Linked DNA regions of Rattus norvegicus. The protein of the gene in region 1 binds, or shares a complex with, the protein of each later gene. Links are inferred from orthologs where the notes say so. Each region holds a gene or a part of one and is shown on either strand. Other genes may lie near its edges.

Evidence for each region.
Region 2: Ppp4r3a (region 1) and Ppp4r4 share a complex: the UniProt entries of both Homo sapiens proteins name them as parts of the PP4 complex. The link is inferred for Rattus norvegicus from reciprocal best matches to the Homo sapiens genes PPP4R3A and PPP4R4.
Region 3: Ppp4r3a (region 1) and Ppp4c share a complex: the UniProt entries of both Homo sapiens proteins name them as parts of the PP4 complex. The link is inferred for Rattus norvegicus from reciprocal best matches to the Homo sapiens genes PPP4R3A and PPP4C.

The regions. Positions count from the first base shown.
Region 1 is NC_086024.1:126,043,039-126,046,689, forward strand, and holds part of Ppp4r3a (serine/threonine-protein phosphatase 4 regulatory subunit 3A), read right to left. Parts: intron 3,589-3,651; coding exon 3,472-3,588; coding exon of another isoform or gene 3,433-3,471; intron 1,633-3,432; coding exon 1,501-1,632; intron 1,401-1,500; coding exon 1,298-1,400; intron 1-1,297. UniProt on the Homo sapiens protein: Regulatory subunit of serine/threonine-protein phosphatase 4. May regulate the activity of PPP4C at centrosomal microtubule organizing centers.
Region 2 is NC_086024.1:128,500,861-128,504,511, reverse strand, and holds part of Ppp4r4 (serine/threonine-protein phosphatase 4 regulatory subunit 4), read right to left. Parts: intron 3,049-3,651; coding exon 2,943-3,048; intron 1,584-2,942; coding exon 1,436-1,583; intron 1-1,435. UniProt on the Homo sapiens protein: Putative regulatory subunit of serine/threonine-protein phosphatase 4.
Region 3 is NC_086019.1:190,827,710-190,831,460, forward strand, and holds the start of Ppp4c (serine/threonine-protein phosphatase 4 catalytic subunit), read right to left. Parts: upstream 2,539-3,751; 5' UTR 2,387-2,538; intron 2,353-2,386; exon of another isoform or gene 2,188-2,352; 5' UTR 2,124-2,187; coding exon 2,026-2,123; intron 1-2,025. UniProt on the Homo sapiens protein: Protein phosphatase that is involved in many processes such as microtubule organization at centrosomes, maturation of spliceosomal snRNPs, apoptosis, DNA repair, tumor necrosis factor (TNF)-alpha signaling, activation of c-Jun N-terminal kinase MAPK8, regulation of histone acetylation, DNA damage checkpoint signaling, NF-kappa-B activation and cell migration.

The DNA.
Region 1 (3,651 bases):
CTCTAAAAGTTTTTTCTACAACCATTGATTATAGCACAGTACCTTCTACAAGTTCTGTTGTCTTAAACATGTTAATTTGGAAACGGGCCTCAAATTTTATCCAATATGAATAAACACCCACAGAAATAAGATGGTATTTCAAAGATTTGATTTCTAGGGTTACACAAGAGTTTATTTAATGTGCTGGGCATGTTAAATTCTAGCACTTCAGAGACAGAGAAAAAAGGTAAGTTTTCTTTTCATAATCATACATCAACACTATTACAGTTTTTATTAATACATGAATAATAATACTATAAATTGAATGTCTTAAATTAAATATACTGAATTGTAAAATTAAGGGAAAATAATGTATGGGTTCCTAGATAAGAGCCTCAACAGCTATTTCCCAATGACATTAAAACTATCCCCACCCCATCCCAAGGAATAAACTACCAGAGTTTGCTATAAGAGTTTGCCATGCTGTTGGGGATTTAGCTTAGTGGTAGAGCGCTTGCTTAGCAAGCATAAGGCCCTGGGTTCGGTCCCCAGCTCCGAAAAAAAAAAAAGACAAAAGACAAAAGAAAAGAGTTTGCTATTTACTGTGGCACACACTTGTCCCAACACTGGAGAGGCTGAAACAAGAAGACCTGAGACCAACATGGATCCCTTAACAATATCTCTCAATCAATCAGCCACCTGACTGACTGACCAGGAAAACAAATTACTTTCTTTTGTACTTTTCTGTTAGCTGCGATTATGGTGCTTTTAAACAAAATTCACCTTAAAAGTCTCTTGAAAACACATGACTAAATCTCACTCAATCTAATTATAAAACTTTAAAGATTGTTACCTCCTTCTTAGGATGTATCCTGGTGTCCCTGTCTCTGTCTTTCCCTTTAGAGACTTATTATTTTAAAAGATTTATTTATTATGTATGCAATGTTCTGCATGCACATACACCTGCAGGCCAGAAGAGGGCATCAGATCTCAACCTCTGAACCATTTCTCCAGCTCTATTTTTTATTTTATATGCATTAGTGTTTTCCCTAAATATATTTCTGAGCCCATGTGTGTGTGCGCAGTGCCCACAGAAAGCCAGAAGAGAGTGTTACATGAGCCGGTAAAGTCTTTCTGGAGTAAAGACTGTTGTTAGTTGCTGTGTTAGGTGCTTAGAATCAAACCAGGGTCCTCTGGAAGAGGACCAGTGCTCTTAACCCTTGAGTTATTTCTCTAGACCCAATGTCTTAAATCTAGTTACTCAACATCAGCTTTAAGTTTCACAATTCAAGAAAACTATGAAGCTGTATTATCTTACCTTTACTAGGCTTATCTTCTGTTGTATTTGCTAGTAAGGGAGCAGTGAGAACATGCATACAGTGCTTGTAGAAGAAACCCAGAAATTCAGTCTTTTCTGTTTTCTATGGAATCAAAAATACTTTGATGAACTTTAACTGTATTGGTTCCTACTAGCAATAAAACAGATACTACTATGAAAAAGGAGAAATGGCTATGACTCACATTGGCAGTGGCTAGCATGTTCTCTGGGTCAACTAAAGTTCGAAGCAGGCCCATAAGTTGGACTGCTCCTCCAAGCTCTGGATCTGTATCACAAATCATATGTTCTATAATGAGGTTGATGAGCAAAATATCCTGGTGACAAAAATACACATAATACAGATTACTAAGACAGATATTGTGGCATTACCGCTACCTCTAGCTGTCTTGTTAACCTCAAGTAAAAAAGAATGACTGATCATTTAACAGGATAAATGGAAGTGTCTCTTTTGCCTGATGGTGGTTCAAAGACAATAAATAGTACCAAAAGAAGTTTAAAAGTCCTCCTCCTCCACTCTCTGAGACAGGATCTTACTATGCAGCTTTGGCTGGCCTAGAACTAAAAGGCACAACTCATAAAGATCTGCCTGCCTCTGCCTCCCCTGTGCTGGGATTAAAGGAGTGTGCCACCACCTCTGGCTTTTTCTATTACCTTTAAACTCATCTCATTAAAGAAGGGAGGGGGGACCAAAACAAAACAAACCACAAAGGTCAGGGTGGGTGTTAAAATGTCTTGCTTCTGTACTAACTTCATCGACCTTTTGTAGAAAGCTCATGAGCTTCACATGTATGGCTTCATGTATGTATGTTAAGACTACTTAGCTAGAATTTATAAGCCTGCTTTGGTTTCACTGCATTTACTTTTATAGTTTTCCTTTATGGAAATAACAAATTGAATAAAAGGAGACTAGAGTGTACAGAACAATAGTATATTATGTGGATTCCAAATGTCAAAGAAAACCAACTTCTGTTTTTCCTAAGGACCTTTTAGGGATGGTGTTCTTGGCCCAAAGGACAAAGAAAAACTGAGGGAGGTAAAGCGAGTAAACTCTGTCCATTTGCCTATATATGCTAGGGTAAAACAGACAAGGACAAAGAAAATACAGACAGTATATGGAAATGATTGGAAAATGAAATCCAGAGGCCTTATGCATGTTTGTGAAGTGTGAAGACACACAGGCATGTCTGCTCACCCAGTGGCTACAGGGCCTACAAGAATAGCCTTTAGTTTTAATTACTCAAGATATTCTGGTTCTTAAGATAGGACTATTTCATAGAAGAGAAATATAAAGATTCAGTAATTCATGATACAGCTCTGCATATACTCTACACTATAATTTTGAAAACAAACATAAATATAGACATTACTAGGCATTCAACTTCAATCTGGCACAGTAGATTTTTAAAAATAGAAGCTGTTTCATTTTGTAAGAAACACTGCAAGCTGACATTTTGCAGAGTCCATTCCCCTAAAAGAGACATCATTTTCCCATTCTCAAGGAATTCAAGATAGCTTAATGAGTAAAAAGTAGCTTCCAAAAATTTAGAAAGAGAAAAAACAAACAAACACCAAAAACCAAAAACCAGAGGCATTGGTTTAAAAAACAGAGTGGAAGAACATACACATTCAGGCTTCTTCACATATCATGTACTACACACTCAATGTACACTACCAGTCTAAGCTACTTTTAAAGCCAATTCACTGACTCTAATTTCTGATTAAATGCAGCCACAGCATACAGGCAATAGCTGCTTCTTATTCCTCCCTAATAGTTTTCAGGGGCCATATTTTATCTCTTTCCTCTTGATGAATTCTGAGAATCCACCTCTGGTAGTTCTTTCCAATGAATGTTATTCATCGTCCACATTCAGAATGGTCAATTGATTTAAGGGTCTAAATAAATCATTACAGTCAAGTCAACTTCACAATTAAAAAAGCTGACTTCAAATACAATAAATTTATAAACTAAGGCAGAGGAAACTGAGGGAAAGAGTGAGCCATCTGACGTTATGGCTACCCCTTCCCAAAAAGCACATTAGTTTAGATCTTAAAAAATACATAACCCCAGCTAAAGCCTCCTATGCATAAATACTATTAGTGTAAATAATATTTACCTTGCTGGTTATTTTTTGCTCTGTTAACTTCTTACTTACATCATCATTCTGTTGTGCCTCCTGCATGACAAACTCTCGTACCATGGATGGGTTATATTCAACCAAGTATGAGAATATATCAGTAGCAGCACTTCGCACCTGTGTATCATCCATGCCCTGCAAAGGAAAAAGTACCAGTCTCTTTTAATCTTAAAAACACAGAACTTTATCAATGAGATT
Region 2 (3,651 bases), about 2.5 Mb from region 1:
AGCTGGGTAAAGAAGAAACCGGGAGGCTCAGGGAGGAGAACAGAGAACCCGGACTGAAGAACAGAATCCCGGGGAAGGACGGCTGCCACTGAGGTGCTCTGCTTTGATAAACACCAACTCTGCCTCTTTTTAGGCCAGTTCTGGAAAGGGATGCCTTACAGCCCCTGCAGTCATTCCCTCATCATGTGCTCTCCGGGTTAATGCTCTGTATTGCTTTTGCAAACCTTGAGGCACCTACATCCCATTCCAAGGGTTGCCAGGATGCTGTCTGCAGGCCTTCAGGTGAGAGCACTGCCTACACAATAGCCCTTGGCTCTGTGCATCTGAAGAGGTGAAGAAGCTGTCTCTGGGATTCTCAACATTAAACACCAAGGGCTCTAACTCACTCACTGCTCAGCACAGATAGAGGGGACGCTTTAACTAAGAACTCTCAAGTCCTCTCCAGAAAACTTCCTTCACTCTGGCCACGGAAGAAAAGGTTCCTCTGAATAGCAACAGGATTTTCCCAGCCTGGACGGTGTCTAAACTCAGTAAATTAAATGTTAAACCATTCACCTGAGAAGCACACAAAGCATAAATCACTCTTTATCACCTAAAGTATGTCTAGAAAACATTGATTCGTGGGCACACAAGATTATAAAGTTCTTGAAATTAGGGACTAGAGCTTTTGGTAAACAAGACTTTTAAGGCTCTTATCATACAGATGACATTTGCTGAGCCAGGCTGGCAGGCTGGCCTTGACTTGTGCTTGCTCAGCCCAGTAAGCTAAAAGATCTCAGATATCAGTGAAGAGAGTGACTCTGTCTCCCAAGACTATTTACTAACCAAGCCATGAAGCCAACTGAGATGTCCATCAACAGACAATTGGGTGAAGAGAACATGGTATATAAATACATTGAGTATTCAGCGCTAACAGAAAATGGAACACTGCTGCAACCCAGATGAACAGGAAGGCATTCCCTACAGTGAAATAAATATTGCCCGTTCCTTTTGAGATGTGGAAGCCAAAAAGGTGAGCAATGGAACGGTGCTTCTTAGCAGTAGAAGGACGGTTGGAAGGAGGCAGGCGAAGAACACCAAAAGCCGGTTAATATAGGAGGAATGCCTTGCACTCTGACTACAGCTCACAACAACTTACTGTACATTTTATAAATAACTAGAAGACCAGGCTGAAGGCTGTGGGCACATAGAAATGACAAATAGTTGAGGAAATGAAAATGCTAACTACCTAGATTTTATTGTTACATCTAATACCCAAATTATTAAATTATCATGCTATACCCCATACTTGTATGACTATTAAGTTAAGCTTCAAAAATAACAGAGAGCAAGCATCAATTCCTCACTTGATTAACTAAGAAAAAGGGTTTGCAAATGTTTACCACAATAGAAATGAGAAATGCAACATTTTCAAACCTTGAAAAGTGATACGTACCTCACATTTGCCACTGGGTCATGTGTTAGTTCAATAACAGGTAGAAAGAAATATTTGCAGAAAAATGATCTGGAAAATATCTCTATGATAAATTCACAGGTATCCAAAAAGCGAAGTCTATTCCAATAACTTTTTCCTTGACCCAACTCTACAAACAACAAAAATACCATAATACAGTATTTCCTACATGAAATTATATATTACAAAACGAAACACCAAAAATGTATGTAAAGTTTAATTCTATCTGCAATCTATTTAACAAATATAATCAATAAGAGAAAAATAGTCATTATGTGCTCTAGATTTGTAGACTACAATATTTACATGTCAAAAACTAGGAAGTGGTGTTACTATACAAAACACCAAGAACCACTTTGGGATGACCTGTGATGACTGAATGATGAGGTCACTATGAATGGCCACCACCTACATGCTAAGGACCCTGTACACACACCGTTTTTATACCTGGAAAACAGGATGATGGGATGCATACTCTTGGACTAATTCAAACGCAGGCTCTCCAAGCCTTTTAAAATTAAACTAGTTATTCTCTTTTTGTTTCCTTAAAGGTGTCTGAAGTGGAGAAGTCATATGTAAACACAATTACTATAGGTCAGTATTCAAAGCATAATTTTCTCATTTTTACATAAATGAGCAAAGGCAATGTTCTTAATACTTAAGACCAAACAGAATCTTTAAAAATCAAACAACGTACTCTGAATGGAAGACCCTTCTCATGCAAAAGGAAAACAGAACTAAATCAGGTCATGGGAAGAAAAAGCAAAACATACTGAGCCTAACTGTTCTTAAATAGAATTTCATAAAATACTCTTTCACCTGAAATGTGGTATTTCTTGATTAAAATGATAAATTATAGTAGTTAGGAAGTCTGGATAATAGTTTTATTAAAAACCAATTAAGCATAATTGTAGTCAAAGCCAAGTAGTCAGTGACTAATAAGCTCACTAGACAAATGTATATATTTGCTACCAGATTAACACCTTAAAGATTTTTGCCATTATTTTAGCCCTTAACAAATCACAATAAGTTTGCATGTGTTGACCTAGTTTCTAAACCACTACAGCTCACTAGAGTCACACCATTCTGCTAACCAATGCTGTTAACACCATTCAGTAAAAAATTATAAGCCTACATTTTATTCATTCAATACATACTGAGAACAGCATTGTATAATAAATTATTAGATTTATGAATGCTATTTCACCAAGGTAGAAATTAGCCTTTCAACTTACATTTACGTATTTTAATTTCTCAAGTGTTGGAATTCATAAAAGGCCACTCTGGTTAAATATTATTTTCATCTATGAAATTTTGACATAAAGATTTCCAAGACAAATACAAATTAACCTTCAAAATTCAAATAAAAGCACACACCAGATTTTTACCAACATCAGTCCAATTTTGCTTCAAAAAATTACATACAATGCATTAAAGATCTAATTAAGGTCAATTATTTTAGTAACTTTTTTCCAAAATCATTGCTTACGTTCAATTAACTTTTGAATGACTTCATGCCTCTGCTCTTGTTTGCGATTATATCGTAGAAAAATGCACAGAGTTCGTGCTGCGGCTCTTTGGACAGGTAAGACGTTCTTAAAGAAATAAAACAAGAAGGATAATCATCACCCTAAGGTATGTTCTCAACAATTACTCCCTGCCAAACCAATATCAAGCAATTGCTAAATGAGACATGTTCACTATCCTGAGCTCACACCCTTCTGGAAGGATCTCTACTACTTAATGTTACTATCACCTGGGTACATAAAATATCCTCTGACAGGCTAATCCTGCACAGTCACATCCAGGTGACTGGTGTTTGACTATCATTTCCCTGCTACCTCATCTTCAGTGACATGTTCCTCAGAAATATTAATGATTTCCACATATCTGACAAACATTCTGATGAACATAGCACATGTCAGTTACATCACCAGAACCGTGTAACCTCTAAAGTAGAAATGTAGAAATCCATGTTCAGATTGACTACTGAGGAATTTAGGGACTGGTATATCTAGGACTAGAGACTAAATGTCTAGGATAATGTTCTTCACTGAGGGATCTCCAGCTCCCATGCCTATGCAAAAGCTGTCAAAGGCAAAGGCCCAGAACTCTACACAATGGTTAACATTAGAGAGTGTCATCACACAGAGCAAAGGGACCCCAGCTGGCTGACAGGTAGCTCCAATGTTCCAAAC
Region 3 (3,751 bases), on another chromosome or scaffold:
CAAGGCCAGCCTAAGATGTGAGCATCCTGTCTAAGAAAATAAACACAACCTCAACCAGTCAGGCACAATGGCATGGTGGCAGAGACAAAAGATTCCATGCTCCAGATCAGCCTAAGAGACAGTAAGATCCCGTCTCCAAAACAAAGACCTCAAACCAAACAGGGCTAGAGATGCAGCTCAGCAAGAGAAAGTAAACTAGGACACCAGCTGTCACAGCCTCAATGGGTAGCCTGCATCAAGACACTGGTATCTAGAAGTCATGGCTTCCTACTCTGTAAAAAGAAAGAATCATTTGAGAAACAGAGACAGATGGATCTCTGAGTTCAAAGCCAGCTGGGGCTACATGGGCAGACAGACAGACAGACAGGCATACACACATAACTCTCCCAGCCTCACAGGACTAGTGGGCAAGAGTGAGGACCAGGCTACTGTCTACTAAGAGGGTGGAAGCCACACTGAAACAGTTTCCAGAGGAGCCGGAACAAGCCTCAACTATTGCCTACACATTTACTCCTACCCTGCTCGACTACTCCTCACTGTGTTCTGTCAGCTGGTCAAGAATATATCTTTCGGGCTGGAGAGATGGCTCAGTGGTTAAGGGCACTGACTGCTCTTCCAGAGGTCCTGAGTTCAAATCCCAGCAACCACATGGTGGCTCACAACCATCTCTAATGGGATTCAATGCCCTCTTCTGGTGTGTCTGAAGACAGCTACAGTGTTATTCATATAAATATAATAAATAAATACATCTTTAAAGAAAAAAAAAAGAATATATCTTTCAAGGTCTACCCTAAGAAGCACCTGGGTCACCCGGTGGTGGTAGCACATGTCTTTAATCCCAACACTTGGGAGGCAGAGGCAAGTGGGTCTCTTGAGTTCAAGGCCAGCCTGGTCTACAAAGTGAGTTCTAGGACAAGGCAAGGTTACAAAGAGAAACCCTGTCTCAGAAAAAACAAAAACAAAAAACGCCCCCCTCCCAAGCTTCAATCTTTGAATACACCGTTATTGTCCTTTCCAGCATAAAAACACCATCTCATAACTTAGAGTACCCAAACACCGTGCTGAGTTCACTTCCAGCTCAGATTCACTGAATGGTCACAACCATTTTACTGAACACAACTTGTTCCACTTTGTTGAGTCCTAGACATTTCCAAGTCACCACCTAGAGTGCCAGCGCTCAGATTCAAAGCCACAGTCATTGCACCCCCAAACTGGGATGCTGATTTACAACTTCCTCTACTTCCCAGAAAACACTGCCTCTCTCCATATCCTCATCACTGTTTCTTGGCTTCACTTTCTGAGCCAGAGTCTCATGTGGTGGCCCTGACCTAGCTGAGGATAACCCTAAACCCCTCATTCTCTCTTTGCCTCCCAAGTGCTTAGGATTACTACTGTGTTGAGGCTGTGATCTGTATTTTTTTTTAATCTTACTTTTTTTAAAAGGCCTCAACTCAGTAAACCAAGCTAGTCTAAGACTCATTATGTGCTATTCTAGCTTATTAATTGTTTTCCTTGGGATCTTAACTGAACACAAAATTGGCTCGACTTCATCTTCCAGAATAACTAAAAGGATCTGTAGTCAGAGAACTGGCTTCAGATTCCACTCCTTCCTTGCTGGTACTTTTGAACAATTGTAGTCCTTGTTTGTTAAACTGGACACGAAACTACTTTCTCTTTTAAGGATTGATGAGATTGAGAGACTTTCGCAAATCACGTTTTGTTTTCTTGCCTTGAACGAGCTCCTCATTCTTCAAGACATGTCCCAAAACTCAGCCCCTCCAAGAAACTTTCTCTTTCGCCCCAGCAGAGCAAGCCGTTTTCCCTGAGTTTCCTAGAACTTCCTGCCACTCGCTCTTACTCCACTAGAAACACACATATAGCCGACCCCATGGTTCCTGGTGGGAAGTGGCTCTTGGGACATCTCTCCGGGAACGCTTCCGGGATATGACAAACCCTAAGTTCTCAGCTGAGTTCGCCCAGACGAAACCCCTGAGCCACGGGTTGGCCTCCCTCCTGCGGGCTTACCTGGCCTTAGCGCACAGGGCCTTGACTTCGCTCTCTTTGATAAGTTCGCAGCGCCGCAGCTGCTCGATCTGCCGGTCCAGGTCGCTGATTTCCGCCATGGCCCACCCCCCGGCGCGGGTCAGAGTCGGGGCTGGCGCCCCCTCCGGACCGCACAGGGGTCTCCTGGGAAAAGCGAAGGCGAGCCCGCCAATCAGAGGGTCCGTGCGGGAGGGGGGACTCGATTCTGGGACCGCCCCCCCCTCCCCTCACGGCGGTCCAGGACCCTCCGCGTCCCGCTGCCCTGGCCGCACCCCGCCAACTCCCGTCGAACCCCGCGGGCCCGCGCTAAGGACGGTGGCCTAGAGGGGCCTCGGACAATTACCGCCGCTGAGACTCCAGCTGAGTCTCTCAGACTCCCCACTTCCCTCCGCTTTGGGCCTCCGCCACCGCCGCTTCTACTTCCGGCCTCGCTGCGGAAGCAAAGGGAAACCTGTTCTCGCGCGCGCCGGAAGTGACATATACAAGTCACGCCTCTTTCGAGGCATCGGGAAGGAGAAACGAGGGAGCCGGAAGTGGGCGGGCAAAGTGAGCTGGAGGCTAGTATAGCTGTACTTCAGTTATATACACCAGGTCATGTGAGCTCCGGTAGGCTTCTCGCCTCACGTTACAGTTTTCCCTTGGCTGCTTTCTATCTTGCTTCTATTACAGATCTAACGGATAAAACTGCCTTGTTCATCATTGCTTCTCCGGTGTTTAGAGTAAGGCCAAGCATTGCAGATAGGCGTAAATAGTTGTTCAATGAATGGGCCTATTCTAGTCCACATTTCTTGCCACAGTCCCAGAGAAACCTTGCCATGGAGGAACTCCGAACCTGAGCCAGACATGGTAGCACACCTATATGTAATCCCAGAATTTAGGAGGCTAAGGCTGGATCGTGGATTCTAGGCTGTCAAAGCTACAGAGCAAATGAGCAAACAGAAAAAAAAAAAAAACCAAAAAAACAACAAGATTATATGTCTGATAAAAGAACTTGCCACCAAGCCCGACTGACCTGATTTGGATCCCCAGGACCCATATGGTGATGAGAGAAAACACAGAGGTTTAAATTTAATTGGGGGAAAGTGCCCACTCTCTGGACACCAAGCTTGTTTGACTCCCTTAATTCCAAAATAGTTGACATTTTTTTCTTGGCAGGGTTTCACTGTAGCTCAGAATAGCCCAGATTTCACAGCGAATCTCAGCCCAGATGTTAAGCAACCACACCCAGCATTACTTCCTATTGCCTGAACATATTCCTTGAAGGTGGCAATGGATGGGTTCAAAGACTAGCTTGCTCACGTCAACCAAGGTTCAAACATGAATCCAGGAAAAGTGGTTTTTCAAGCCTGGCTTTCACGTTTCATTTACTGTTGCTGAAACTCAAAATATAAGACCCTGACACTCTCCAAATTCACAGTACATGTACTCCTCTTCCTTCTCTTTGCCTTTTGCTGTAGGCAGAGTAGGTTATTAATCTCTTCTGCTCACCATATTCCTCAATATTCTATTGTCCCTCTTAATTTTGAACAGTTTTATGTGCTTTAAGATCGTCTTTTAAGGGGTGGGAGAGATGGCTCAGTGGTTAACACTGGTTGCTCTTCTAGCCAACCACCCAGGTTCAATTCCCAGCACCCACATGGCAGCTCACAATTTTAACTACTGGTCAGGGGATACAACACCCTCACATATTCATAGTTAAAATAATAAT